Coturnix japonica: one gene and its partners. The protein of the gene in region 7 interacts with the protein of the main gene of each other region in a pairwise test. Links are inferred from orthologs where the notes say so. Each region holds a gene or a part of one and is shown on either strand. Other genes may lie near its edges. The genes, in order: RAD23B, TRIM54, GUCD1, TRAFD1, UBXN2B, UBQLN1 and NGLY1.

Region 1 (4,030 bases), on a different chromosome or scaffold from region 7:
TCTGTATCCAGACCAATCAGTGAATGTTTGTATAAACCTCAAGTCTGTCCTTGAATGGAAACACTATGGAAACTAGCCTAACCAAATTTACTTAGAGACAATTTACTATTTTGAATATTGTCTCAATTCTTAAATACAACGTTGAAATATTACTATCAAAAAAACAAACAATCCACCATACAAACCTAGACTATATGTGATGGTAATCAGTAAGGTATATGCACCCCCTTTACACATCTATACAAGCACGGTATCAATAAACATAAACTTAAATTTGGAATATAAACATCACTTGAACTGTGAAAAGGGCATTTTTTTGCCTTACTGTGGGCAGATCTGCTCACAGTTTAACCAAACAGAGTGGCTTACTAGCAGACAACATTCACCACAGGTGTGTGTAATAATCATATCAGGCACAGTCCAAGAAGCATACACATTTTTGGACAACGAGGGTTGTAAAGAATTAAATAGCTGGATGACTGACAGAAAATCTAATTAACAGGTTAAGAAAACCTTTGGTCAAAACCAGATTTGAATCTAAATATCTCCTAAACACAAGTCTGAAGTAAAATAAATAAATAAATAAAAATTTTTAGAAGTGTGTTTTAGAATTGAAATCTCCTTCTACAAACACAGCTCAAGGATATAGGACAATATATGATTGAGAAACTAAGCCATAAAAATTGAATAGCTTGTTAAATGATCCCACTTGCTGTCAGTGATTCTCCAGTTCTCATCTCCAGAACAGCTACATTAACTACACTTGACCTTTCCTTTCCAGCCGCTTATAGGCTTTTTTCTTGGTGCTGATTCTTCAAACCACAATAATTGTGTGCACTTAAGAGCTCAACATCCTAAAGCTACCCTGCAGATCATTTGGAGGCTGTTAAACTAGGAGATCAAAGAACCGCGTTATCAGTGGAACAATACTAACTGAAGAAAACATTTTCCTGATGCAGCAGATTGGTCATGAACATATTTAGATAGACCAAAAAACTGTCTAAAAGTTCAGTAGCACCAATAGCATTTTTCTAACAGAAAAAAAAAGAGTCTGTATACTAATGTTCTCTGAGAACAAGATTACTTCTCACCACTCCTTTCTCCAGCTGACAGAAAAATGAAAACATATTTTCAGAAGAGAATGACAAAAAATAGAAGGGAGAGCACATATGCAAGAGGAAGACCCACAAGCCTAATGAGCAAGAAATTAACTACTCAGGACAGAATCGATCTGTTTGATGAACAAACGTGCCACCTGTTAAACTACCTCCTGGATAATCTATTTTTATTTTTTTCCTCAACACAAATGAGCTAAAGCAGGGAAATATTATTCCGACTGCAAAAGTACTACAGGCTGTACATGACTGGGGAACATACACCAAACGCAGCACTTCAAAGGGGCACTGGATTTATGTACAAACTAAACGCACAGTGAGCAGACAGTAAAACCAACACTTTCCAAGGCATGAAAGATAAATATTTGAGATTTCCAGATTAATGACAGCTGGGTTGGAACTACTCCATTTGCCCTCAGGGTATCAAGAATTCAAAGCCTTTGTTTGCTCCCATTCCAGATGAGAGTTTAACTTTTTACATTCATGTACTAAAAACATTTGTTGCTCATTTAGAAACTACAGGATCTTGGGATCAATTGTGTGAATAGCAACCGTGCCAGTGACTGCTAGTTGTACACACTAACAAAAAATTTTGTTTACAAAAACAAAACTTTGCAGCTGGAGGTCAGTTTTCTTATCAAGTCTCTCAGAAATTCTGTTCTCATACTCTGCAGGGACTAGTTCAAGACAGCTGGCTTTAAAATGAGATGTAATTTAAAAAGCAACAACAACAAAGACAACAACAAAAAACCCTAAAATAACTTACAAGATTTCCATTAAAGTGAAGTTACTATTTTATTACCTCTCAAGTCAATCAAGTTCATTTCACTTTTGAAACTGTGTTTTTGACAAGGGAAACTGTTTCTTGTCCAGAACACTGCATAAGTAAAGCATTTGTTAATAAAAATTTACAAGTCCTTCTGTTTGGAAAACTCATTAGTATGATTGTTGTGTACAACCAGTAGTAATGATGAACAGGAATTTCTAAAGTGTTACCTTGGTGTGATGTTATGCACACTAACAAAACAGCATTATCACTAAGATGTCACAACAACCACTGCTTGGGTTGGTCACTAGCAATTAAGAGCTTCCAATGAAACTGGGTGTGCCTAACACATATAACCACAAAAAAATCAACAGAATATAAGCAAAGCAAGAGATGTAGCTAACAGCAACTTCAGTATTTCCCGTAGCACACGATCAAAACAATATTCAAAATAACAGGTAAATAAAATACAAAGTTCTTCAATGAAGACGAGAGAACGGAGTATACATGACAAACTGCTCACCATTAAAAGGTATTCCACTGCTCTGTCTGGATTGTTGAAGCTGGCTCTCAGCGCTGCAATTACTTGCTCACGTTCATAGCCGATGGACATGATTTCAGTCACCATATTCTCATAGGACTGACCTGTCACTAGAAGTAACATTTTGACCATTGTAAATGAATAAGGTACCAAAAAAAAAAAAAAAAGCTTAAAAAGCTTCAATGGAGAAGTGTCACTTCTATTCAAATTTGAGTAATTCACTGAAGCGTAAACACTGATATCAACCTCACCATGGTTCTATCAAAACATGTTCTGATAGTTTCATTATGCATTTGGTTGGAATAGCAGAGTTCTAGGATAATGAACACACTACAAACTTCCACTGAAAAAAGCAGCACATGTGACAATTCCAACTTCATAACTGAGATACCCTTCCCTTTCTATGCTTTTCCCTAAGCTCAACAATGTCATTAAAACTAATATTCAATTCCTAACATAATTATGAAAAGTCTCCTGCAGTCTAAGTTCAGAAATTAAGCTTTTTAGGCAGAAACCTGCTTGTCAGACTATATTAGCCATTGATGTTTTTTCCTAAGAAGTACTTTATACTAAGCTATGGTTAGAAAGGCGACAAAGTTATGATCAAGTTATAATTGTCTATTAACTATGAGCTGGTGACAACAATCAAAGTAATTTAACCAACTTAACTTGGAGCAACTGAAGTCAAGCAGAAGACTAAAGTTATATCTAAGAGAATCTCAAGACTTCAGTGAGGATTAAGTTATCACAATGTATTTTTGACTAAACATCTATCACACTAAGCTCCCGATCTTGTCTGGGTGCAAACATACTAAACCTGGCTCATGCCTGCAGATATCAAGACAAAGTTAAAAAATACTGCATATGGAACAGTTTCAGGGCAGTTCATTATACAATTGGTTTAGAAATAAATAAAATTAAGTATACATAAACTGCTTCATTTACTTCTGTTAAAAACAGACAAGGTTTAAAAAAACCCTCTGAAACAAAAAGGAAAAAACTATTCTATTCTGAATTGTAATTGAGCAACATTTTAAGGGAGACTTCCCACAGAGAGTCAAAAGGAAAAACTAAAAAATATATTTAAGAGTAGAACAGCACTACCTCAAAGACACTTGTGCATTACACATAAATAATGATTTAACATCTATTGGCTAGTGTGAGTACCCACTGTTCAGACTTCAAAACAGAAGATTTAACCAACTTAAACAAAGGTACATACATGTCTTTACATATAGCCATTATTTTACATACTCATTTCCTTAAAATAAGCAATCATGAAAACTTTGCCTTAAAAATTATATATTATTGTACATATCTTCAAAAAGCAAAAAAGCCAAAACTGTTCCAATACAGTAGTTTATTTATCAACTTTCTGCTCGTATTTTCCCATCCACCAACAGTTTATTCTTACTACTGATCATGGACTTATGAAGATAAACAGCACACAGAATACCTTTTCATTTAATTAGTTAATGCTTAAACATTTCTGTAGTGCTTTTCTCAATAAAAGCTTGGTAGAGACCAGAGCAGTGATAGATTTTGTACAGAAAAAAGAAGGAAGAAGGAAACAGAAGTACTGTGAATCTAAGCACATGTACTCCATAC
Region 2 (4,530 bases), on a different chromosome or scaffold from region 7:
CCCAGACATGGGGCTGCAGGCAGAGCACAAAGCCCTGGTACAAGGGAACCCCGCAAGCACCTCATCCCCACACACCACACCTCACAGTGTCCACTCGCTCAGTTTAATGAGGGCTGGGGGCAGCCCCACCACGTGGGGCTTCATAGCAGTCGTAGGGCTGTAGGGTTTGCTGGTGTCAGTGCTGTGCCGTGAGTCCAGCTCAGTGCTGACCTGCACCGAACATTGGCCTCAGTGCCAGCACAAAGTCTCCATCTCAGCCTCATCTTATCCCCATCTCATCTCATCCCCATTTCATCCCCATCCCATCTCTATCCCCATCCCCATCCTATCCCCATCTTCCCTCCATCCCTCTCCTCATCCTCACCCCATCCCCTGCCACCCCATCCCTATCCTATCCCCATCCTCACTTCCTCCCTCCCCACTCATCCTCACCCCATCTCCTGCTACCCCATCCCCATCCCATCCCTGTCATATCCCCATCCTCACTCCCCCCCTCCCCACCCATCCTCATCCCCATTCATCCTCACCCCATCCCCACCCATCCTCATCCCATCCCCTGCCACTCCATCTCTATCCCATCCCCATCCCATCCCTACACCCTGCTCATCCCCACAGAGCATCTCACCATGGGGAGAGCTCAATGGCTTCTGCCTTGGCCCCACATCTGTAGAGAAAAAGCATTGGACAGGTGGAGAGAGGGACACATGGTGAGACCATGCACCGTACATGGCCACGCCGCAGCCACGGCAGCACCGTGGTGACTGCGGCACAGCATAGCACGGCACAGCACAACACACTCTCACCTTCAGCAGCCTCAGGTGCCTCCAGGCTCTCCTCATCCCCTGCACCTTCACTGCTGTCTGTGGGTCCATCTCCATCATCCTCACCCAGCGCTTCTGTGGGGCAGAGGCACATCTCAGTGTGAGGACATCCCTGCTGCAGTCCCCTCCCCAAGGCAGCGCCCGCCCCATGCTGGCACCTGGCTGGAAGTCGATGGTGCGCAGCATCTCAGCCACATGGTCCACATTGATGGAGAAGTGGTCCATGCTCTCATAGCCGGGCTCAGGGCGGCTGCTCATCGACACCTTGGACATGTCTGTGATCCTGGGGGTACAGCAAGCAGCATCAGCCCTGCCCACCCACCCCCCCATGCCATCCTCATCTCATCCCCCTCCCCATCCCATCCCATCCCATCCCATCCCATCCCATCCCATCCCATCCCATCCCATCCCATCCCATCTCACCCTACCCCACTCACTTCTTCAGGAGCTCCTTGGAGTGCTGTGGGGGAAAGCAGAGTGCCGTCAGCATCCCAGGAGCAGCGCACCAAGCCGCAGGGCGCCCCGCACACAGCCCCCCCCAGGCACCTGCAGGTACACGGCCATCTGAGGTTCCTCCATGGCCTGGATGGCCGTCTCCACCAGCTTGGAGGAGGCCTCCAGGTGGTCCCCGTACTGTCGGATGAGGCCGCGCACGCGCTGCACCTTCCCCTCCTGCTCGCGGGCGATGCTCTGCAGCAGCTCCTTCTTGCGCTCCTCCAGGATGCTGCAGAGCGAGTCGAAGCGCAGCCCCACGTGCTGCTTCTGCCGCCGGCCGTTCTCCTGTAGGATCCCCCCCCGGGGGCTCAGGGGGCTGCCACGCTCCCAGCCCGGCCCCACAGGACACCCCTGTGTCACTGTGCCCTGGGGACACCCGCGTTCCATGGCTGCAGTGGGGATTTCCCTCCCAGGAGCATCCCACCATGTGGGCACAATACACCGGGTGGGGGTCCCGAACCACGCAGACCCCACACGCGGGGCCTGGGGGGGGGGTGTGGGGGGGAAGGCACACACAGGGCAGCCCCACCTCAGTGCTGCGGCAGGAATCTTCCAGCTGGGAAATGATGGTCTGGATGCGGTCGTTCCCCGCTACTAGCATGGAAATGCAGTTGTTCAGCTCGCTCTGGGGGGCGGAGCGGCGTCGGGGGTCGCACCGGGAAACCCCTCCCACCGCGCCCGCTCCATTGACCCCCCCCCCGGCTCTGGGGGTCACCCACCTTCTGGCCCTGGAAGATGCTCTGCAGAGGGGCGACTTCGCAGTCCTTGTGAGCACCGAAGACCTTGCACATGGAGCAGGTGGGGACCTCGCAGGTGACGCAGTAGATGTTGATCCTCTCATCCTCATGATCCTTGCACATCAGCTGCTGCTCCGCCTTGGCGTGCAGGGGGCTGCGACGGGAGGGAGAGGGCGCTGCGCCCCACGGCACGGCCCCACGGCACGGCCCCACGGCACGGCCCCACGGCACGGCCCCACGGCACGGCCCCACGGCACGGCCCCACGGCACGGCACACGGCACGGCCCCACGGCACGGCCCCACGGCACGGCACACCTCTGCCCCGTAGCATCCCCCGCCTCACTGCACCCCCAGCCCCACAAGTTTAGCCCCAATACCCCCCCACCCAGGCTCATTCCCCCTCGTGTCCCCTGCACAGCCCTCCATACCACACAAGCCACGGCATCCCCCGCCCCACCTCACCCCACGGTGCCCTTGAGCCCCTTTAGCCCCAATCACCCCCCCCCCATCCCCACGGGCTCCCTCCCACGCGTGTCCCGCCCCGCACCGCGCCGACTCCTGCTTGTAGATGTCGATGATGTTCTCCACCAGCAGGTTCCTCTGCAGCCCGTACACACCGTGCCGGTCCAGCAGGACCTCATGGCGACACGTAGGGCAGCGGAACCGGCCCCCGGACGGCCCCGCGCCGGAACCCCGGGACTGCCACAGCGGGTTGGAGGCCTGGGGGGGCAGGGGGGAAAGGAGAGAGCAGGGCAGGGGGGGAAGGAGGGGTTAGCGAACCGCTCCGAGACAGAGATCCCCCCTCCTCCCGTGTACGGAGCCCCCAACCCCGGGCACAGCCCGGTCCCTGCGCCCCGCACCTGGAAGATGTCGTTGGCACACTTGCGGCAGAGGTTATGCTGGCAGGGCAGGATGACCACAGGCTTGCTGAACATCTCCAGGCAGATGGGGCACAGTAGCTGCTTCTCCAGGCTCTCCATGCTTCGCGCTTCCGCCAGCAGCGGCTTCAGCCCCACGGCGAAGTTCATCGCCGCGGTCCCGGTACCTCTCCGGTACCGCTCCGGCCCCTCACTGCCCCGCTCCGGCCCCGCAGCGCTAATTTTAGCCGCCCCCGCCCCGTCGGGGCCGCGCAGCTGTCGGCGGCGTCGGGTGACACTGAGTCACGGCGGGCGGCCGTCCCACCGCCGGGGTCACTCCGTCCCGACGCCCCCCGGGAGCGGCACGGCGCTGCCCCCCCCCAGCCCGGCTCCACAGCCGCCGCTCCGAGACGAGAGAGCGACACCGCCGAGCTCCCCCCCATCATCCTTTAATGGTGCCCATATAACATATACAAACCCACGGAAAGTGCCTGAAGGGTCCCAGCCCCATAACGAGCGCGGTGCGGCCCCACGGCGAGGCAGAGTGGGGCGCGACGGGAGGCCCCTCTCCGACCCCTCCTCCTCCCCCCCCATACCAGCCCCAGAGCAGCGTTTGGCACCCAGCTCCCGTCAGGGGGGTCCGGCCCCGGGGTTACAGTGCTACCGGTCTCAGTCACAGCGCTGTAGGACGGTTTCACCTGAGATTGTACACCCCCCTCCCCACCCCACGATGGGGTCTTGGGAAGCGGCGGTGGTCCCGGAGGAGGCTTTACCCCCCACCCCCCTCCGGCACATAGGTGGCCCTATGCCTCGCTCCTGGCTCCGGCAGCAGGCAGGGGCTGGGCGTTGCTTGCGGGGGGCTGCGCTTCCACCGGGACCTGTGGGTCTGGAAAGAAAATGTGTGGGTCAGTGGAACCAGGAGGGAGTCCTGGGGTCCTGGCAGCGATCCGGGGCTGCCCCTGGCACCAGCACGGCCCTCATGTCTCTGTTCCTCTGTTAAGGAAACCGAGAGAGCCCCCAACCCACGTGTCCCACCAGCCCCCGAGCCCGGTGCAGCCCCCCCTGCAGGTCTCTGTGAGCCGGGAGCATCGTGGGGGGGGTCACCATTTTGGACCCCAACTCACCGCCACCATCGTCCGCCTCCAGGTCCTTGGGGTCGACGTACTTATAGGACTCGTCCTCGCGGGGTGGGCAGCACTTCCCGCAGCAGAAGAAGCAGCAGCAAAAACAGCAGCAGCAGGTCAGCAAACCACAGCACAGCGCCAGGGCCTGCGGGATGGGATGTCACAGCCTGAGGCTTCCCAGAGACCCCCGAGGCTTCCCCGAGACCCCCAATATGCCCTAAGAGCTTGGGATTGCCATGAGACCCATGGGGCTGCTCTGAGACCACAGGGCCCAGCTGCCATGGAGATCCCCTGGGCCACTATCAGACCCCAGGGCCACCTGAGACCCCAGACCCAGACATTGTGAGACCCCAGGGCTGCCTTGAGACCTTTGGGGCCACATAGAGACCTCAGTGTCCTGCTGCCATGAGAATCCCAGGGCCACTGTAGGATGCCTGGAGCCACCCTAAGACCTTGGGGTCCTCCTGAGACCCCAGACCCAAGCACTGGGAGACAC
Region 3 (4,608 bases), on a different chromosome or scaffold from region 7:
CCGCATTAGGTAGGCCAGGTCAATGGTCCAAATACTCTTTGTTAACCGGAGCTCTTGGATGGCTTTCTGAAATTCATCATTGTCCAAATGATCCAGGTACCTATGGTATTAGTAGAGGTAGGGGAAAGGAAGCACAGATCTTAGGAGAAGCACAGTATGTTCTGTAGCCCAAACCTCCACATCCATGGGACAGAAAAACTGATACAATGGGCTTGGCTAAGAAATAAGCATAAAACAACCCACAAATGAGCCACAAAGTTAAGGGAAGGAAGCAGAGAATACATAAATGGATTTATTTCTGACTTTTCTTATTGGAAATATACAGGTATCTCAACTGCTCTGTAGTACTAAATATATACAGGATGCTGGACAATAGGCAAGCTATACTGAGCAAGTATAGAACTATCTTGAAGGGCTTACAATCTACATATACAAGGTTAATAGAGCAAATGCAGAAAGCAGCAGTAAAGACTAAAGCCTGCTCCAAGCAACAGATGAATTTCAAAAGGAGGAACTGTAAAGGAAGTTGATAAATATTCAAAGGAAGCCTGCTTAGGCACTGATGACACAAAAGGCAGTAAGGGGGGAGATGAAGTCTGAAGAAAGCTTGGGACAGGTTGCAAAGGGATAGGGAAGGGCAGTTACAGAGTTCTGGAGGTCAAAACAAATGGAATTAAACGAAGAAAAAACAAATTGAGGAAGCAGGGCAAACAAGGTCAGATCTGCAAGGTGAGAATATTAATCTTGAATGCTGAGTTTTGGACAGACTGGTGTGGCAAAGAGGTTAAAGGGAATGAAGAGGCAGAGGTTACAGAAGTCAAGATGGGAATTACCAGCACACGGACTAACGTCTTGGCAGAAGGGATGGAGAGAAATGAAAATCTTCTCCTTCATATCTACTAAGTGGACATCTAAATAGGTATTTCTCCTGCACCTAACATGTTCCTCTGTGGAAGGAAAGAGGAGTTCAGAAGAACAGCTACAGGTTCACAAAAAAAAAAAGAAAAAAGAAACAAAAAAAAAGAAAAGAGATGGCAATATAGTGCACAGCTGTGATGTTGAAACAACTCCTGGAACAAAAACCATTCACCCCACAGGCTGGGGGCTCAGCAGGACAGAGGCAGTATACTCAGAAACTAGGATAAACCTATCCACTGCATAATGATATAGAAAGGAATTACGTGACTTGCTGTGGTAAATACCAGTTCTGAATTGTAACAACAGGAAAGAGGGATAATTTCTTATCAGCTTAAGCATACCAAACTGCTTAATTGTTAGCTCAGGGCTGATCAATCAGAACAGTTATTCAAAAGGTCTTAAGTTTGTCTTAGCTTGTAATTTCCCTTCTGGATTGCTGTGCTAGGCCCTGGAAGCAGTAATTCTCCAAGGTATTCAGGGATATGTGTTCTTGCTAAGCAAAATTCACAGCTGCTCCAATACACCTCATGTCCCTGCACATTGCTTCCTGATACCCTCTCCCATGGGTTGGGATTTCCCACCCTTCCAATGAAAACAGCACTTACTGTAGCACCATCCTGGAGCAGGCCAGCCCGCAGTCCCAGTGGTACAGCTGCTGAATGATGGGCACTTTCAGCTGCACACATTCACCTGCAGTGAAAACACCCCGTGTGAGTAAAATGTAAAAGCTGTCAGTCGTTATATGGGAATGTTTTTCTGTACTTCACCATTCCAATTCAGCTTGTTCTCAGCTCTGTATTCTGTGCCAACAAAAAGTCATAGGTCAAATGGGTAAAAAACAGACACAACCAGGATCTCTAGGCAGTGATTTCTTACAAGCCCTATGGATTTCAGCCTCTTCTACTGCCATGTCTTTTTGTGAGTAATTTTTTAAGGTAAGACAGCTCACAAATGACACCATCTGTAAAAGGGCCAAAGAAGAGAGACAAAACCCAATCTATATCAAGAAAATCTGCAATATCAGTAATTCATCCTTTGTTATTTCTTTACAGGCAGTAGTAGTGGTTTCAGTTTCAGCAAAGCCCAGATTGCTTGATGGACTGAAGTGCTTCCGCTTGGCATTGTAACTTCAAAGACAATCCAAGTGAGTTAATCATAAAAGGCTTTTCTTAATGACTTTACCTTCGATCTGGTACAGACCCTTGGAAACCTTTGCTAACACAGAGTCAGCTCTGCTTTCAGATGGGGATAAAAAGCATTCAGCATCCTGGGGGCTGCTGCAGTTTCAACACAGCTTTATATGTAAAACTTTATGGACAATGTCTTGCAGTTTTAAACTGTTTTCTCACTGAGTTACGGCTTATTGCAGCAACAACGCGGTGCACTTTCTCAATCACGTCACTGGGTTTAATCATAACTTTGAAAGCTGGCACACACCCATTGGTGTACTCAGTGTTTGTTAGCAATGTTGATTATACTTTAGAAGGACAAACAGCCCCTCAAATCCCGCTTGAAGGAAGTAATGTAAGCATTGGCGGTGTGTTATGAGCTGTGTTATGAGCAGGTCCATTCTCTGTTACCATCCAGGGCCTTCTAACACCACAACTCACTGTGGATGTCCCTGTTCTCCATACACTATGACTTCAAAGGTAACAACCAGGCCCAGCGCTGCCCGCTTCTCATCCCCACCCCCAACAGAGCTGTCACGGCCCGACCCGCGGCTGTAAACAAGGCGGAGCACTCTCAGCTCCACCAAGTGCTTGACAGGCCGCCCCCGATCCGAGGCCCCGGAGCTGTCACTGACCTGCCTGCGGAGGGGGCTCCCCCGGCTCCCGGGGGCTCCTCATGACGGCGGCCGCCCGCTCACTACCCGCCCCGCCGGACTTAGGGCCGCGCCATGCCCTGCTGCGGCGACGGCTCCTCCCGGCTGCGGAGGGGGCGGACCCCGAAGCGGCTGCTCGGAGCTGGGAGGGAGGGAGCTGCCTTCGGGAGGAACAAAAGTGCAGCGGAACCATCGTGATAAGGCAGCGAGACCCTGAGGGACAGGAGCAGTAGCAGGATCCGCTCCTGTGCCCTTCCGATTCCGGGGCTCTGTGCACGGCGGGAAGGCGGCGGCCATTAGGGTGGTTGGTGGGAGGTGAGTGTCGGTGGGGGTTTGTTATAGGGTCGGTTTGTTATGGGGTGGGTCTGTTGTGGGGGTTTGTTATGTGCCTGCAGCTTCGTAGGGCGGCAGATGTGGGCTGAGAGGGTGGGCTGCCCTCAGCCTTGGGCCGGGCCTTGGGATAGGCGTGTATTGCCAAAGCACTGAGGCCTTTGTTCAATGGAGCAAATCGGCTCCTGTAGGCAAAGCCGAACTGCAGAACGACTGGGAGTTTGTTTCCTTTATTCACTTCTATGTTGTGCTCTCTGTCCCAGGAGTAGAGCCGCAGTGTTGCAGCCATGTCCATCGGGGTGCCCATTAAAGTCCTGCACGAGGCAGAGGGCCACATTGTGACCTGCGAGACCAACACTGGGGAGGTGTATCGTGGGAAGCTCATTGAGGCTGAGGACAACATGAATTGCCAGGTAAAAGAAGTTTATCTCATCTGTTTGGAAGTGGTTGCACTCAGCAGACTGACAGCGGGATTTAAAGACCTTTTACTTTTAGTCTTAGGATAAATAAAGCCCTTTTACTCTGTGCACTTACAGTAATGAAGTGAATTCCAGATTACTGAGCACACCAAATTGCTCAGAATTGGGATTTCCTGTTCCTGGTTCCTCTGTGAGCACCTTCTCTTCAGCAGTTCTTTGTTTATTGCCTGTTGATAATAAATAAACTCTAATTTATGAGCTTAGAGCTGTGCTTAATGCAGAGGACTTTAAGGCATTGCAATAGCCTTAATTTTGATAACTTCATGCAAGTTGTAGTTGAAATAAAAATGTCCTTAATAGCTGGGACCAGTAAAACTTTATTTAAACTATCTGAATAAGAAAACAAAACTAATAAAACTAATTAAGCAAGTGGGGAGGAGGGGAAAATAGTGAGTTTGCTTAAATTTTAGCAAGCTTTAAGACTGTGTTTAAATGGTTATAGATGCCTTATATAACAATAACAGTTGAAGGCTGTATGCTTGATAGGGCTTTGAGTTTATTACTTGAATCTTGGCTATATATATATTCCATGAGCAGGAGTAGTGGGAGTACAAAACTATGTTTAAGGCCACTTAAAACAAACTGTGTTTGAGACCACTGTCTGATCTTTACTTTCCAGATGTCCAACATAACAGTGACATACAGGGATGGGCGAGTGGCGCAGCTTGAGCAGGTGTACAGAGGCAGCAAGATACGGTTTCTCATTTTACCAGATATGCTGAAGAACGCTCCTATGCTAAAGAGCATGAAGAATAAGAACCAGGGCTCTGGAGCTGGCCGAGGAAAAGCAGCTATTCTCAAAGCTCAGGGTGGGTACAGTGTGTTTGTGGTCTGGTGTTCCCTCTTTACCTTCCTGTTTTGCTGTACAGAAACTGAGATGTTTTCATCCCTAACACTAAGCAAAGATGAGCTGTAAGAAGCTGAATGAGTGACAGCAGTCAAAACTCAGACTGATGCACAATACTGATACTGCAGATAGTTCAGGAACAGTAAGTGGCCTTGCTAGAGTTAGGTAAAACTTCACCTTTGGTTTTCTGTAAATGTGGTTGCTGCCTGTTT
Region 4 (4,030 bases), on a different chromosome or scaffold from region 7:
TATTTAGGAAGGTCTGATAGAGGGGGCAGTTACATGGGTTCCCATATTCCACTCCAAAAGGACATGGAACTTGCCAAACTTCTTGAATTAAATGTGACAGAACATACTGAACTCTGTTTATTACCTGATGATGAAAAAGTATCTCCTCTTCAAGTTGGATGCCACAAAATTCACAGGGAATGATAATGTTTCCTTCTTCCTGGACAGCTTGGTACCGGGATGAATAATCAGACCTATAGCTGTTGTACCCAATATTATGCAGATCATCATATTTTTGTGGATCCAGAGAACTCCTTTTACTGAAGGAAGCAAAGGCACTTGCTGGGTTACAACCTGTCTGTTAAGCAAGTAACATAGAAAAGTTAGCCATCTCATTTAGCACACAGGGGTTTTAAAAATAATGCTGAGCAAAGATAAAATTACTAGACTTTAACTGTATCACTGAGCAAACACTGCACCTTTGTTCGGTCACAGTAACAAACAGGTCTTAACTGCAAGCTCCTAGATACAATACAAAGAAGTACTAAACCTGATGAAGAATCAGATCTTCAGCAGGGTACAGCTCCTCACAAAACTCACACGGCAACATGATCTCATCACCTGCAAAGCAATAATGGTTATATCCTCTACCATATAGAGCCTGGCTTCATTTGGATCAACTTAGATTCAAAATTCCTAAGCAATAAATTCCTGTACTGTAGCACAGAACAGCAACCAAAGCAAATGCAAAGGAAATAGTTACTGTAGTCCCACTTGTTGAGTTTTCTGAGTAAATCCATATCACCCAGAGACAGAAAAGTGTTTTGGGGTCAAATATATGATACAAAAGCCTACTACTGCCCCCACATAAATCCCTTCATACTATTTTCCCTTTCAAATTAATTTGGCACCTCAGGTCTCTCACAGGTGTTGAGAATAAACATGATAGGAAGGCAGCAAGAAAGCCTGTTGTTATGAATCCCTTAGCACTGATGGGCACAGGCACCTATTTTGCTTCTAAAGGTACACCAGTGTTTTCACTTAGAACTGAAGGCCTGGAGTAATATCAGTGCTTGTCCTTGCATTGTTCTGAACTGTTATGAGTTGAAAAGAATTTCTGGATGAACATATCAAGGTCAGAGCTCCACTACACCTTTTAGTTCTTCCTCCCCTTCTGTCTTGCTTTACTTCTGTTCAAAGAAGTATTACTGTTTTTGAGGGGACAGAAGATAACTTTTAAGAAAGAAATGGCATGCTTAATCTCCTACTATTAATTATTTAACAATTATTTAGAGGGAGTCTCAAAGAGCTTCACTTTGATCTACTTAGATGATCTTTGACAGTCTGCATCCAAGAATCCTCTTTCTCTCTCAGACTTAATAAGACAGCATTTATACTTACGTTTCAAGTGGTTTGAAGTGTTCAAAGACAATAAAGAGTCATAAGGAAAGGTATTTGAGTTGTCTGTTTCATTGGGGCAGGAAGATGGCACAGATTCTTTGGCATAGTGGTTTTCCCAGACGTCCCTGTGAATCTCTGCCGCAGAATTATTGCGAGGATTATTCTCATTCTGAAGGCTAAGAGCCAACATGTGGTCTAAATTGGCATTCTGCTCTTCATAAAGTGAGTTAGTGTTTTTATTTCTCTCCAGCTGCTCCAGTCCATACTCTTCAAAAGATGAATATAAATTTTAGGTAACGTTAAACCTGCAACAATTACTTAAGCAAATTAGTCTAGTTCAACCAAGAGGGTTTCACGTGCGGACACTCATGGAGTTCAGTATTTCACAGCCTAGGACACTTCCTGTATCAAATTAGAAGGAAAACAGTCATCCTGCTTCTGTTTGTAACAACCAAAAAGAGGAGAAAGAAGAACAGAAAATGTTGTTCCGCTTACACAAACATTATGAAGTTAAGGAGAGAAGTTCTGTATCCTACCTTGTGAACAAGGCTCAATTCTAACACGCATCTACTACTTTCTGTGAGGCTGGAACTTTTCAACCTTGTCTCTTTAATGTGTGAGTGGAAAAACAAATTCCTTTTAATGATACTACATTTGACAAATGGGTATTATACACATACAGAAGAAAATGATGAAATGTTTCCTCGTCGTAGAGTTATACATAAAAACAAGCAATCAACAACAAAAAACCCACCACATTTCAGAACAGGGCCCAAGACTGAACTGATGATGTCTAGTGGAAGGCTGAGCTCCTCCCCCATGCTGGCATGTTTCAAATATCTCCAGCATTTTATTCATCTTGATTATATCAGAAATTCAAGAAAACTTAATACACATATGAAAATCTTACTAGAAGATAATTTAGAACTCAGTACAAGTGGACAAGTTATAGTCCTCCAAGCATTTAGCTTCATTAACTAACCCCAAAAGTTATTTCTGCAAGCCAGGCAGTCTTCTATGGCAAAGACTGCAGTGTAGTACTTTCCAGTGTTAAACCCTCTGAGTAGCCCACAGCAGAAAGCAGAGCACACGTTCAGCAGAGAGCTCATGGAAAGGGCATGTCTTAAATGTGACATGACCCTCTGCACATGGAGGTGGGAGATTAGAGGCTTATGAGCAAGCAGAGGCATTTATAACAGTCTCAGCTATGTCCAGACAGGCTGTTATTGCAGAAATGCTCAGCACTTCATATGTGAACCACATACAGATCTTACCTAGCCTTCTACTTAAAGGAAGAGTGGAGCTGCTAAATAAAAATCAAAAGGATTTAAAGTGAGCAAACAATTCCAGCATCATTTTAAAGTTAGGTACTTCTTGAGGTGAAAGCCCAGTGCATTGCCTGTGCTGTCATCTCACCAGCTACCTCAAAAGTCCTCCATTTAGGAGGCTTATACTTTTGCAGCTTTGTTCCACAACAAAATAGTGCCACACTCATTGCCTCCACAACTTTTCTTACTTAGTATCACATAAATCTTTTACTTGGATCACCTGGCAAATGGCAGATTAAAAACAAGTTATTACTTTCATCTATACCTTACCTTGATTTTGATTTCTCTGTGTTCTTGAAACATTTCTTCTTCTAATGTCCTTAAGTGTTTTGTCTCCTACAGAGTCGCTATAGATCTGCCTTTCTAGTGCCCTGGGCATTCTCCACAAAGGCACAGCACAGTTATCTGATCTTAACTGGTTTCTAATGTCTCGAAGGGCATGCAAACCTGCATCCTCTGCCTCAAAGCGAGGCACTGTTTTGCTTACTCGCTTCACCTCTTTCCCACAGACTTGGGGATGCTCTTTTAGATCTTTTACCATTACGTTAAGGCCACAACCACTACACATCTCAGTCCTAGCTCCACAGTAACTTTCATGATCCTGAAGCTTATTGAAAGTAAGCTGGATGTCACAATGCTGGCAGACTGCAGGACGCAAAGGGCACGCTGATGTCTAAAAAAAGAAGGAGGGATTATTCTTAACATATGGAAGACGGAGGCAAAGGTAAATGGAGGTTCTCACTTTACTTGAGTTGAGCTTGCTATTGTTTCTTTAGCTAGATACAAAGCTGCACTGAAGAGCAGCCTGAAATAAAATACTATACAAGAAATAAAAGAATGATACACTGTATCACCTGTGTAGTCAGAAAGCTGTCAGCTGAAGCACTACCAACATTCAAAACATTCCCTTTAAACCTGCAATGCTTTAACAGCAGCTTCACATAGTGCTTTTTAAAGTTAATTTTTAAGAAACATTCTTCACAACCACATTTAAGTACTGCTTAAAGACTTATTAGTGCTTATTACATCAGGGAACAGACTTGCAACGCATTTACTACTGAGCAACTATCACTTACACACACTCTTTACACTACACTGAAGCTAAACATATATTAAATACATGTTATAATTGAAGATGCTGCAATAGCACATTGCCACTTTGTAAACAAAAGTATTTCACAAACTTCCAGAACAAACAACTTCCAGTGTTTTGGACTGGATGCGTCTTCAAAGAAAAAACTATTTTGTTTCCTAAGCAATAGGCAGATCTGCATGGCACTCCCAGAGCTGCCTTTCACTGAGCCCAAAGGAAAATAAAGAAA
Region 5 (4,030 bases), about 66 Mb from region 7:
GGTCCTTATCCATGATTTCACAGAGTAGTTGAGACGGGAATTGTCTTTGTTCAGGTCATCTGGTCCAACCCTTCTGCTGAAGGCGGTACACCTTGAGCCTGTTGCCCAGGATGCCATGTTGAGGCAGCTTTTGAAGATCTCTAAGTAGAAGACTCCACAACCTCTCTAGATGCAATGTTCTATTGCTCAGAAACCTGCAAAGTATAAACAAAAAAAAAATGTTTCCTGATGTTCAAAGAAAACCTGTATTCCAGTTTGTGTCCATTACCTCTTGTCCTGGTGCTGGGCATCAATGTACACAGCCTGGCTCTGTTTTGTTTGCACCTTTAGGGATTTACACACTGATGAAATCTCCCTGAGCTTTGGCTTCTTCAGGCTGAACAAGCCCAGCTCAGTGTCAGACTTTCCACATAGGAGAGAATGCTCCATTCCCTTCATCTGAGGCCCTTTGCTGGTCATTCTCCATTATGTTTGTGTTTTTCTTGTACTGGGGAGCCTGAAATTGGACACAGTGCTCTAGATATGGTCAACTACTGGAAAAGCTTTGCCTAATACAGTCCAGGATACCATTAGGCACCTTTGCTGTAAGGGCACACTGCTGGATTGTGTTCTATTTGGTGTCCTCTCAGGTTTTGCCAAGCTGCTTCCCAGTAAGTGCCCCTCAGTGTGGTAATGACTACGATGTTTTCTTCTCCAGATGATGGGCTTTGCATTTCTTGTTGAGCATCATTAAGTTCCTGTCAGCCCATTTTCCATCCTGTTGAGGTGTCTGTGAATGGCAGCGCGACCCTCTGGTGTATCAGCTACTTCTCCCAGTTTTTGTATCATCTTCAAACTTGCTGAGGGTATGTTCTGTTCCATTGGTGAGATCACTAATGAAGATTCCAGACAGGATTAAACCCACTGTTGGTTTGTGGAGTACATTGTTAGTTACTTGCCTCCAACTAGACTGTTCTACTCATTACCACCCTTTGGGCCTGTCTGTTCATCTCGTTTTCAGTCCAGCTCACTATTTGCTCATCTCCAGGTGGGCAATGTCGACTGTTCTCCCCTCATCTACCAGGCCAGTCATTTCATTACAGAAGTTGGTCAAACACAGCTTCTACTTGATGAATCCATGCTGACTGCTCATGATGAATTTGATGTCTTTCCTATGCCTGGAAAATGATTTCCAGGTTTAGCTGCTCCAGTCCCTTCCCAGGAATTGAGGGGTGAGGCTGACTGACAAGTAATCAATTAGCTTTCTCTAGACACGATTCAAGTTCAAAATTGCCTTAAATCTTGAAGCTAACTTGAGACATAGTTATTTCTAAAAACAGATAACAATCTAAAAGAATCCCATTATTCTTTAATAATAATACTCATCTCATTGTGTCTTTATAATTTTTTTATATCGTCCACATACAATTTATGCTGGAGTCTTCTCTTTGCAAATTATTTTCAGTGTGGTGGAAAATGCATGGTTTTCCTTTTATAGCAGACTGTAACTAGTGGGAAAGAAGGCTCAAGTCAGAGACTGGGTGCTGACCCACAGCTGAGAAAGTGCTGGTTTCACTACTTGAAACAGAATGATGGGGGAAAAAAAGAGAAGTTTTTCTCCATCTTGGCATTCATGTTTTTCATGCTTTCATGTGAGTGGCTGAATTTTATTAAACCATTCTGTCACACAAATTATAAATGGCTGGTTTTATAAATCCTCTCTGTTCAGGTTACTCCCATCCTCTCATCTTGACACTTCTTTGCTGTACTTGATGCAGTTTGTGTGATAGTCTGCTCTTACTCAAGATCGAATGTGGGAAAAATCAGGTCATCTTTTCTTTTAAGTGATTCCTCCTTTTCTTCCTTATACAAATTAAATGCATCCTAGCTGATAATATGAAGATAGTGGAGACATCAAAAGCTTTTATTTGCCAGCTTTTCAGACTGAGCATGACTTTCAGTCTTCTTTTTCCTGTGCTTAGATACAGCTTAAATTCTTCCACTGATTAATAAGAAAGAAACCAAGTTAGTATACTCTGTTAGTCTCATAATATTAAAAAACCAACCAACCAAAAAAAATTTAGAATGTTAGGTTGAAAGACAGTCTAGTCCAGCCTCTTGTTCCCACAAGCCAACAGAAGTGATAAGTTGGATCAGGGAGATGATCCAGGTTAAAAGCAAATCTTTTCTTCTTTTTCTCCCTTTTCTCCTGTCAGATTTTGCTTGGGATCACGTCATTGTGTGGAAGTGAGGGAAAGTCAAAAATACAAAATCTTCTATACCTTGCTATTCAGATGAGTGCCTAGAGTTGATGTTAAGCTCATCAAGGCAGGAAAAACAGGAGAAGCTAAAGGACGTGGTCTAGGTTGGGAGCTGGACAGTAAGGCATTAGTTACAGGAAAGAGAGGTGCAGGGTAGAGCTAGTATCAACTTTAACTGCAGTTTAACAATTTGATGAAATGGCAATTATAGCTCTAACTGGTATGTCAGCAATATTTCATAAATACATGCATTTATTTCTTGTTTTATCAACAGGAAGTGTTTACTGCTTTTAAATGTAGTTCAAACACAGTCAAGCTCATTATGAAGTCATTGTATATTGTCTGTATGTCATGAATCATAGAATTACCCAGGTTGGAAAAGACCTTGAAGATTATCGAGTCCAACTGCAGCCTAACCAGAACCCTAACTCTAAAAACCCTACACTAAATCATATCCCTGAGTACCACATCCAAACGGCTCTTGAACACAACCAGGGATGGCGATTCAACCACCTCCCTGGGGAGCCTATTCCAGTACTTAACTACCCTTTCTGTAAAGAAGTTCTTCCTAATATCCAACCTAAACTTGCCCTGGCGCATGAATAACAGATTAATAAGAGACTTTTTACCACAAATGTAAAATTGGCTGTGGAATAAATAGTAATCTGTAGGAAACTGAAATACTTTACCTGTGTATCTTCACTTTCTTGAACATCTGTGTTTTTCCCTAGGTTCAGATTTTGCTGAAACTGTGGAGGAACGGCTTCAGTTTAGATGATGGAGAACTGAGATCCTATTCAGACCCAATAAATGCTCAGTTTCTTGAGTCTGTTAAAAGAGGGTGAGTTAAAACAGCAATTTTATTGGGGCACATCCTTCAAGTGAACTGAAGAAAACTGTATTCTCTAAAGGACCAAAATTATTAAAAACTCAACGTTTCTGCTATGTTTGTACCTATCAAATGAGATCCATATTTGTCAGCAGATGCATAGAGTAATTAAAAAACTGATATTTGTTGGTGGCTTAACTTCTAACTTTACTCATATAGGCTGTTAGTTCTGCATATTTTATTGGTAATTTCTATGCTGATCTTTTTTCTTCATTTTAGTTTTTCATTTTATCTGTTATTTTGAGACCAAGCCAATTCATAAAACAACTGGGCATCTATGGCTTTTAAAGTAAGCGGACAACAAGCATGAGCTTGTACAGTGTAAGATTTTTGTGTAATTCTTCATTGCAGTACAGAGCGTAACCGGGAGCCTTTTTTTGTATTAAGGGAAATTCCTGTGGAACTGCAGCGACTTGTTCATGGTGGCCAGGTTAACCTGGATATGGAAGATCACCAGGAGCAGGAATATGTGAAGCCAAGACTGAGATTCAAAGCTTTCAGTGGAGAAGGGCAAAAACTTGGAAGGTAAAAAATCACTGAGTTTTCTGCGTCTATTTGTCATGCCAAAAGCTGGATTTAATTAGTTCTTTTGGAGAACTAATCAAGTGATGACACCAGTATGAAATCACTTTGTGCCACCTTGATTTCAAGGTCCCAGCACTGATTTTATAGTCACTTGTAACCGTGAAAGCTTATATGTAATCTTACTAAAAGGCAAGTCTTCTGTGTCCTGGACCTGCTCTTAGATCTGCTAGATGTCTGTTGTAAATACAAGATTTCTCTGCCTATTCTAATGTATGATTTTGTCTCTCTATATTTTTTTTTATACCAATAGAACTGGTACATAATATTGCAGAAATCATTCCCATGTTCTGAGTGTTTACTTTGTCCAAATATACTT
Region 6 (4,030 bases), on a different chromosome or scaffold from region 7:
AATATCTCAAAAAAAGTCTTTCTGCTCAGGCAAACAAGTTGGTTGCACTAGAGTAGTTCTCCTTCAAGGACTTTCCTTCCTTTCTCTCTCTCCAAAACAGAAATGTTTCTCCCCTATTTTTTTCTTTTTTAATGTCCCAAAAGTAATACTGCTCAACAGACACTCATGGTTACTAAAAGCTGCTACCTAATAGAACTGTAAAAATGCAATGCAGTCAACATTCAGCAGCTCTGCTGAAGTTCAACAGCAAAAGCAAGAGAGCGACCTGATGTAGCTGTAGGTGATCCTATTCACTGCAAGGGAGTTGGACAAGATGACCTTAAAGGGTCTCTTCAACTCAAAAGATTTTATGGTTCTATTACTTGCATGCAGAAACACACATCTTATTAAAATATGACACAGGTCTAATGAAAGAGCATTTTAACTTCAGACTAATTTTGCACCACAGCTAACAAATTTACCATAGTTGCTTAGTCAGATCTAAGTTTGCACAACAGGAAGCTGTCACATCAGAAATTAGAAGTATTTTGACTTCTTAGAAGCAGGGAGACAACTGTTATTTACCTGTTTTGTGTTTTGATAACCAGGTGAACAGTGAGTCCATCATGAATCCCATGCTGAGTCAAAGTATCTTGATCTTTCAATATTTTTCCAGCAAATATGAGTACAAGTTGATCGGTATGGGACTTGAAACGCTTAGAAATTTCTTCCTTAAACTAAACAAAAAAGTTAATTTTATACACTTACATAATTGTATATTGAACTACTATGTTTTTAATAATTACTGGACTTGGTTCAAACTTAATATACTAAAGCACATGCTCTGCATTTTTTAGTTTACGCAATCTAGAAATACTTTGTTTAGGTCACTCAACTTTTTTTTTTTTTTAATTTTGTACAAAGGAAGAGACAAGCAAGTCATTCCTCTTCCATGCAGTAAAGATGAAAAGTGTTTCATAGTCAGTATTTCAGACACACATCCATGAGAATAACTACATACCAGTGTGGACATATTTACACACGCACACAATTTACATGTTTTACCAAGTATACATAGTATTATATGCACATATTACATATCAGTATATGTATACTAATATGTTTACATATATACACAAAACATACACACACTACAGAATTTATCCTTTGCTGATTAGACTGAGGACAGAATATCCCAATTACAGTGAAACTGTCTATACTTTTCCTTGAACCAATCAAAGAATTATCCTCACTTCTCAGACAGTTTTGCTGCCCTTCATGCAACAAAACTAGCACTCCTTTACGTACAGGCAAAAAATACTACTCAGCTGGCCCTGTTTTCTCAGCCAACTCATAACATAACCAAAGGAAACAGTTCTAGCCATAGTGAAAAGCCACCTACTTCAGCTGACCACAAAAATTACACTCTCATTAGCACAAGAGAACATGGAAACCCATCATATAACTTTCTGCCTTCTTATCAAGTAGTAACCAGGTTACACTTTGACTGATATTTAATTATTCTGTAGAAATTTTCACAGTGAGGAAAAAAAAAAGTCACTAAAAGTAAAAAGGAAAACAGTAGGAAAAAATGACAAGGAATGACTTGATTATACCAAAGCCAGGAATACTTCTAAATAAGACTACTCAGTAGGTCATTTATTTTTTGAAGGTATCCTAGTCAGTTGGGAAAAACTCCAGAAGTTCACCCAATTTGGCATTTTAAAACTGAATTGACCATACCTCTTCAGAAAAAAATTTCCAAGCATTCTAGAAATTCTCACTCCTTCAGAAAACTCAAATGTTAATCTTACAGTTATTAATACTTATGTTTTATAATTGGCAGGACTAAAAAAAGAAAATCCCCTAGTATCTAATTGGAAGGGTTTATTGTACAGGAAGAGAAAAGAACATGCCAAAAGAAGTATCTGAGAGACAACAGAGATAAGTCTCTGTCTGGGTAGCAGGTAGCCGCTGCTTAGTTAAGTCTGATCACACAGATTTTGTTCTGGTTCTCATAGAAACAGCTTCTAAGTCAGCCTTTACACTGACAATATTTAAGCTTGTCAGTATTCCAGAAAGTCATTCCGTCCATTCCTTTCCAAGGTGGCTTACTTACCTGATCTATTACTCACATGTTTATCTAGCCTGTTTTCAGAGGTCTCCAGCAATAGAGACTCCATTATCTTTTTTTTACCAAGAAACCTACTCCAGCACTTCACTCTCTTGTTTCTTCATTGTCTGGCCCACGATGGTCAACACAGATTGTTCAGCTTAGGATAAAGGTTGCAGCACAGCTAACCTTTCTTTGAGGAGTAGTGTTTTCTAATCTGATTGTTCTTACTACTTTCTCTATTTTTAAGTTCATTTCTAAATGTAAGACACAAAATGAGCTACAGCACTCTACATAAATTCTTACTCACTCTTACTAGGATAGCAGGAGAAACTCTACATCTTGCAAGACACATTTCCACTTACAAGAAGCAGAAGCCCATATGGGAAAATAACAGTGCAGACTTATTTAACAACTATTAACTCTTTAAACCATTTTCTGCAGAATAACTTCACAGGCAGTTGCTTCCTAGTCTTCATTCCTTCAGTTAATTGTTCCCAAGAATGCATATTACAGAGTAGCAAAATCAGGAAAAACATTCAGTTTGGTACAAAGTTAATGCATAAAAGCATTGCGCCAGACCAAAGAGTAACATAATCTGCTGTCATACTTTCACAATATGGTGTGACAGGGAGCAACTTAATTATCATAATAAATTTTATGCTGTATTGTAAACAGTGCTTAGAGCCATGTCCTGCCAGGTTTCAAGCAGCTATTTAACCATGAGGCCAAGGAAACAAAACACCTTTTATAGAACGTAACTATGTGGTACCTAGTATTACTAGTATAGGCATCAAAGGCTATGCACATTGTTTTCCCTGCTATCATGATACTGCCTTAGATGACCTGCAAGAACAACACTAATCTAAGACATGAATGCAAAATCCAATGTACCAGAACCATAAAGAGCCCTTTACAGCAATGTACGTGCGCAATCCAAATGCACAGATGACCTTTTTCCAGCCAGGAAAACAAATCTATCATAAGTACTGAGACAATTCCAGTTAACTGAGGCATATCTGTATAGGCAGACTAACTGCTGGGAGGGGAAAAAAAAAAAAAAAGAAAAACTAAAACTAAGTCAGGTCTTTTTCAGCCTCACCTGAATTCAGCAAAATCTTGAGATTTCTGTAATGATTGATAGCCATGCTTCATGTTCAAGAAAGCCATCCAGGTGACACCACGAAACTCATTTTGTAAATGAGTCTGATGACTACTTTTAATAATCAAAAATAACAACACAGCAAAATAGGCCTGTGAGAATAGCAATCTTTTTCTGAGGCAGAGGAAAGAGATCATTTATACATCTGCAGTAAAATAACCTACAAATTTTTTTCAGTACAAGTGTTGTTGTTGTTTTTTTGAATTCTCAGCAAACTATCCTATGAGAACATAAATCACTACTGTTTGCTTTGTGAAGAAGAGTTAGGGAGGGTGGAATACAGAATTTTTTCCCATACTCTGTGGGCAAGCATCTCTCCATTTAGTCTGCACCTCCCACTGTTACTGGTAAGTACACTAAATGCAAGGTCATTCTCATATAGTAAAAAACCCACAGTCTTCTTTAAATTCAGAAAGAGTAAAGATAAAAATGAAGAAATGAATGGCATTCAGGCTCCCACGGACCTTTTGTACACGTAGTTTTCCACTAAATCTGCTCAACGTTGTTGTCTCTGAAGGTTTTTGCAACATACAGGTGAACATTGTTCTGCTGCTGCCCACACCCAAACCAACGTGAAGAGAATAACTTGCATTGTTCCTACCTGAGCTAGTTATAGTAAAAATTTTGTCAGTGAACAAAGCACCTATGTATCTGAATACAGATGAACAGTTGGCTATAAGACTTTTTTTGCACAGCCACTTTGAGAGGGATACCCATACTTCAAACTATTGTCTTCTAACATTTGACCATCTGATAAACTAGCCTTGGAAGGTTCA
Region 7 (4,030 bases):
AAATCTTTTTAAAGGTGCATAGATTTAAATTTATATTGTAAAACAGTATGTATAATGAATAATCTTTTTCATAGAAAAAAAATCTGATATTCATTTTTAAGTCTCGATTTCATATCACAAGCCAGGACAAAACCTTAGGTACATAATGAACATTTCTTTCAAAATTAGTCTATTATCATAACTCCAAACACTTTTAGGTATTAAACACAAGTTTAATACTTAGATGTATAACAAGATCATTTTAAGATCGCTTTCTTATTTCTCTTAATTTCAGCTAATTGTTACACAAAAACAGATTATTCCTTGAAAATATTTGTCTTCTATTAGTTTTTAAAATATTTTTAAAATCATCACAATGTTTTAATCAGAAAATGGAATTCACATTGTTTTTGCAAGAAGTAAATTTAAAAAAAACCAACAAAACGAATACCCCAATAACTAGTAAGCTAACCACAGAACTCCAAATTAAAACTGCTCTGTGCTCTTATGACCACATTTTGGTTACTAAGAAATGCTTTCCTTTCTTTAGTTAAAGGAAAGAGCATTAATTTAATGGTTCAATCCCTTAATTTTTAAGTTTCGAAGCAAAGAAGGCTTTCATTGTGATGGTTACCTACTCAGTACCCATGCAGTTTCCATTTGGCAAAATGGAAAGACTGAAACAGGAATAAGCTGTCTGCAGGATAGTCATGAACTGCCAACCAAGACCTTGGGTTGTTTCCACAGTACAGAGTCTTCAAGGAATCCAATGAAGTTCACCTTATTTCAGGTTCTCAGAGGTCAGCAAGTTTAATAATAATCTCCAAGCAATTTTCTCCACATCCTGTTAAGCTGTTTCTGAACAGCTGCGTGTGTTGCCATGCAGTTTTACCATCCCCTCCACTTAGAGTTGCTTCCAGTGTAACTTCTGTTGCACCGCAAAAATCCGAATAGGAGGTAAGATTTTTATCTGTTGGAAGAAAAAGATTAACAAAATAAGGGTCCACTCCAAACAGTACACAATGCTAGAACTCATATTAAAGGGGTAATGTGTCATGAATGTTCAAGAATCTGAGTCACCACTGTACAAATCAGTCTATCAGTAGCAGAAAAAAAAACCTAACAGCTGCAGAATTTTACTGTATTTTTCACATTCAGAGGATCTACTCAAGACTGACACCACCACATACAAATCTCTGTCCTTACTTGTAAAACACACAGCTTTTATTCACTGTGTTTTTGCTAATGCCACGAATCTGCAAAGTAGTATTGTGAAGATTACTAAAACTTGCTTTTGTTCCTTTTTCTATACCAATTCTGATTAAACAGCAGTTTTTTTTCACCTTGCTACAAAAGACTAAATTAGAAATATCAACATATGTTTACATTTCATTCTTAACAGTTGCCTAGTGTTCTCCCCATATAAACTACACCTTTGCAATTACACTTTTGCTGCATGATGTAATTTCACACTTACCTCCTACCACAATAACTTCTGCTGCGGGAGAGTAAAGTCTCCACTTGATTCTTCCACTATGAAATGTCTGACTGCTCGTCCTAATTGAAATGTTATCTATTTTTAGACCAACAGATTTGCATTCAAACTTCCAGCTGATGGAAGCAGAGGATGACCCCTCTTTTCTGGCTAAATAAACCTAAATAAAAACAAGACATAGTCACATGAAAAATTGAAATGATCAACACATATTTAATTAATCCCTGCAACAAGGTTATTCAATCTTAAGGATATGCTTTCATTCTTTATTAAGCTTTAAAACTGTTCACATTACTGCTTTTTATATGATTTCTTTCTAAATCATTAAGTCTATTCAGCAGTTAGGTAACTGTACACAATTCATAGCCCTTCACTAGGAACACTACTCTATTTCAACATTTTCATTAAAGCTCATTATTTAAACAAAAGCAGACTTCTGGCTTTTATATAAAACCATAGGTCCACAGTTTCATTTTTGTTGCTCAGTATTCTGGATTCTGCAGATGTGACTCCTTGCCACACGGCACTTCTCCAGTACCTTCAGCCTTTCTTCATAGGAGAGGTGCTCCAGCCCTCTGACCATCTTAGCGGCCCTCCTCTGGACCTGCTCCAAGAGCTCTGTGTCCTTCTTGTACTAGGGGCCCCAGGCCTGGACACAGTACTCCAGATGGGGCCTCACAGTAGCTGTGTAGAGGGGGACAATCACTACCTCCTCCCTGCTGGCCACCCCTCTTTTAATGCAGCCCAGAATAAACTTGGCCTTCTGGGCAGCAAGTGCACACTGCTGGCTCATGTCCAGCTTTTTGTCCACCAGGACCCCAAAAGTCCTTCTCTGTACGGCTGCTCTCAAGAGGTTCTCCTCCCAGTTTGTATAAATATCTGTTGTTATGTATAGACCCAGTACAGAAAACGTTAGAAGAGAATTATGCCTGTTGATCCATTTTTCATTACTAAAAACCAAACTATTCCTTAAGATAGACACACATTTGGCCAAAGACCCTTCAGGCCACTAGGATGAGAGAGGGAACACAACAATAACAAGCTGCAGTAGCTCAGAGGAATGTTCAGTTCACCATTGGTAGCTGTTGCTGAAAAAGCTTGTTAGTAAGTGACCTCTTCCTATTCTACAGGCGTCAACTCTTTTCTTCCTAGATTTAAGGCATATGATTCTTCTGCTGCTCAGTGTCCTAACAGATGGGAAAGAGTCTGGGCAGGGTATATGATAATCTGGCCGATAAGTTTTTTTGTGTTATTGCAGATGGAACCATAATGTTTAGGATGACAACTTCTTCCTTTGGCTGTGCATCAAAGAGATATGATACACACTATAAAGCTATTCCCCAAAGCAAGTGTTTATTTTTGTGGGTTTTTTTTTTTTTTTGAGACAAGTACTGCTTTTCACTAAAGCAGTATCACATGCTTGCCCAGAAGCATAAGAAGGAAACAAGTTTTTAAGATCTGATGCTCTAGCAGGGATTCTAACGCTCTGAAAGGCAAGCTAAATTTATTCACAATTTCTTAAATCATCTGGCAATCTTACCTGAAACTTTCCAGTAATAATTATGAGCATCCACTAAATTCTGTAGGCACCAGAGAGGTTTTGATGCCAAACACAGGCAAGGATTTTCTACTTTACTGAAACTGACATACTTCCATGGTAGATTTAACAGTTGATAAATCCTTACCATCTTCCAATCTGTTTCAACCTTTCTCCAAATAGACTCTGCCTTCCAAACACCTGTTCCCCAGCCACTTATTTGCTCATTATTATTGGAAATCCGTGTATAACTATCTTCCACAACATTGTAGATGAGGTGGAAAAGTTTAGAAGCCTTCTCTTTTTCAGAGGGAATAAAAACCACTTCTTTTCTCTCCTGAAAAAGACATAAAGATGAGCACGTTAATTTCCCAAAACATTTCAAGTAACATGATGTTACGTTTAATTAATGTACCACGTTTTCTCAGTTTTCATGTCAACTGAAAAAAGTCCCAAAAATCACATCATAGTTTTTCAAGAGTTTGCATAGATGCTTTTGTTACAGAAAACAGAGACCTCTGAACTACTTTCCTACAACAGACTTGCCACTTTCCCAGACAGGAGCAAAAATATTATTTTTAAAATAGTCACACAATTACTTTTGCAAGTAAATTATTAAGCAAAGAACATAAAATCTGCAAATTTAAGGGAAAAAAAAGTGTAACATGTTAGGACTAGAAAAAGTATTGAGTATATTTCTATTTCTTGTACAATCAACGACTATACGGTTATTCCAAATATCAAATGTAAAGTCTGTGACTGTCATATTCAGGTGCTTGTACATGTTAATGAATCAATTTCAGAAAAGCTAAGTTACAAACTCCATAACCACATACTTTTTAAAGTCTTCCCAAAAGCTTCCACCTGCCCTAAAACTTCCTAGCTCTGTTGCATCATAACTAATCAAAATGGATTATTTTATTAATTATAAAATGTAATACTTTAGCATGACTCAGTTATTCCCAAACATTGTTTGAATCAATGGACCACCACCAGTCCTCATCTTTCTAGTGTACCAC

Evidence for each region.
Region 1: the proteins of NGLY1 (region 7) and RAD23B interact in binary tests that used the Homo sapiens proteins (3 or more experiments, as listed by UniProt). The two-hybrid records come from large-scale screens. The link is inferred for Coturnix japonica from reciprocal best matches to the Homo sapiens genes NGLY1 and RAD23B.
Region 2: the proteins of NGLY1 (region 7) and TRIM54 interact in binary tests that used the Homo sapiens proteins (3 or more experiments, as listed by UniProt). The two-hybrid records come from large-scale screens. The link is inferred for Coturnix japonica from reciprocal best matches to the Homo sapiens genes NGLY1 and TRIM54.
Region 3: the proteins of NGLY1 (region 7) and GUCD1 interact in binary tests that used the Homo sapiens proteins (3 or more experiments, as listed by UniProt). The two-hybrid records come from large-scale screens. The link is inferred for Coturnix japonica from reciprocal best matches to the Homo sapiens genes NGLY1 and GUCD1.
Region 4: the proteins of NGLY1 (region 7) and TRAFD1 interact in binary tests that used the Homo sapiens proteins (3 or more experiments, as listed by UniProt). The two-hybrid records come from large-scale screens. The link is inferred for Coturnix japonica from reciprocal best matches to the Homo sapiens genes NGLY1 and TRAFD1.
Region 5: the proteins of NGLY1 (region 7) and UBXN2B interact in binary tests that used the Homo sapiens proteins (3 or more experiments, as listed by UniProt). The two-hybrid records come from large-scale screens. The link is inferred for Coturnix japonica from reciprocal best matches to the Homo sapiens genes NGLY1 and UBXN2B.
Region 6: the proteins of NGLY1 (region 7) and UBQLN1 interact in binary tests that used the Homo sapiens proteins (3 or more experiments, as listed by UniProt). The two-hybrid records come from large-scale screens. The link is inferred for Coturnix japonica from reciprocal best matches to the Homo sapiens genes NGLY1 and UBQLN1.

What each region holds. Positions count from the first base shown.
Region 1 is NC_029547.1:49,514,767-49,518,796, reverse strand, and holds part of RAD23B (UV excision repair protein RAD23 homolog B), read right to left. Parts: intron 2,533-4,030; coding exon 2,405-2,532; intron 1-2,404. UniProt on the Homo sapiens protein: Multiubiquitin chain receptor involved in modulation of proteasomal degradation. Binds to polyubiquitin chains.
Region 2 is NC_029518.1:95,417,336-95,421,865, forward strand, and holds TRIM54 (tripartite motif-containing protein 54), read right to left. Parts: upstream 3,149-4,530; 5' UTR 3,082-3,148; coding exon 2,914-3,081; intron 2,774-2,913; coding exon 2,601-2,773; intron 2,208-2,600; coding exon 2,036-2,207; intron 1,942-2,035; coding exon 1,846-1,941; intron 1,602-1,845; coding exon 1,368-1,601; intron 1,282-1,367; coding exon 1,259-1,281; intron 1,105-1,258; coding exon 980-1,104; intron 897-979; coding exon 804-896; intron 665-803; coding exon 626-664; intron 211-625; coding exon 200-210; 3' UTR 82-199; downstream 1-81. Other genes in the region: DNAJC5G (dnaJ homolog subfamily C member 5G), read right to left, coding at 3,714-3,796, 4,035-4,179. UniProt on the Homo sapiens protein: May bind and stabilize microtubules during myotubes formation.
Region 3 is NC_029530.1:7,449,112-7,453,719, reverse strand, and holds the start of GUCD1 (protein GUCD1), read right to left. Parts: upstream 2,957-4,608; 5' UTR 2,934-2,956; coding exon 2,723-2,933; intron 1,609-2,722; coding exon 1,524-1,608; intron 101-1,523; coding exon 1-100. Other genes in the region: SNRPD3 (small nuclear ribonucleoprotein Sm D3), read left to right, coding at 3,358-3,483, 4,169-4,358.
Region 4 is NC_029530.1:5,457,743-5,461,772, reverse strand, and holds part of TRAFD1 (TRAF-type zinc finger domain-containing protein 1), read right to left. Parts: intron 3,382-4,030; coding exon 2,979-3,381; intron 1,648-2,978; coding exon 1,381-1,647; intron 601-1,380; coding exon 530-600; intron 338-529; coding exon 125-337; intron 1-124. UniProt on the Homo sapiens protein: Negative feedback regulator that controls excessive innate immune responses. Regulates both Toll-like receptor 4 (TLR4) and DDX58/RIG1-like helicases (RLH) pathways.
Region 5 is NC_029517.1:101,283,311-101,287,340, forward strand, and holds part of UBXN2B (UBX domain-containing protein 2B), read left to right. Parts: intron 1-2,971; coding exon 2,972-3,081; intron 3,082-3,516; coding exon 3,517-3,654; intron 3,655-4,030. UniProt on the Homo sapiens protein: Adapter protein required for Golgi and endoplasmic reticulum biogenesis. Involved in Golgi and endoplasmic reticulum maintenance during interphase and in their reassembly at the end of mitosis.
Region 6 is NC_029547.1:36,149,003-36,153,032, forward strand, and holds part of UBQLN1 (ubiquilin-1), read right to left. Parts: intron 717-4,030; coding exon 565-716; intron 1-564. UniProt on the Homo sapiens protein: Plays an important role in the regulation of different protein degradation mechanisms and pathways including ubiquitin-proteasome system (UPS), autophagy and endoplasmic reticulum-associated protein degradation (ERAD) pathway.
Region 7 is NC_029517.1:34,848,138-34,852,167, forward strand, and holds part of NGLY1 (peptide-N(4)-(N-acetyl-beta-glucosaminyl)asparagine amidase), read right to left. Parts: intron 3,349-4,030; coding exon 3,160-3,348; intron 1,635-3,159; coding exon 1,457-1,634; intron 950-1,456; coding exon 774-949; 3' UTR 1-773. UniProt on the Homo sapiens protein: Specifically deglycosylates the denatured form of N-linked glycoproteins in the cytoplasm and assists their proteasome-mediated degradation. Cleaves the beta-aspartyl-glucosamine (GlcNAc) of the glycan and the amide side chain of Asn, converting Asn to Asp.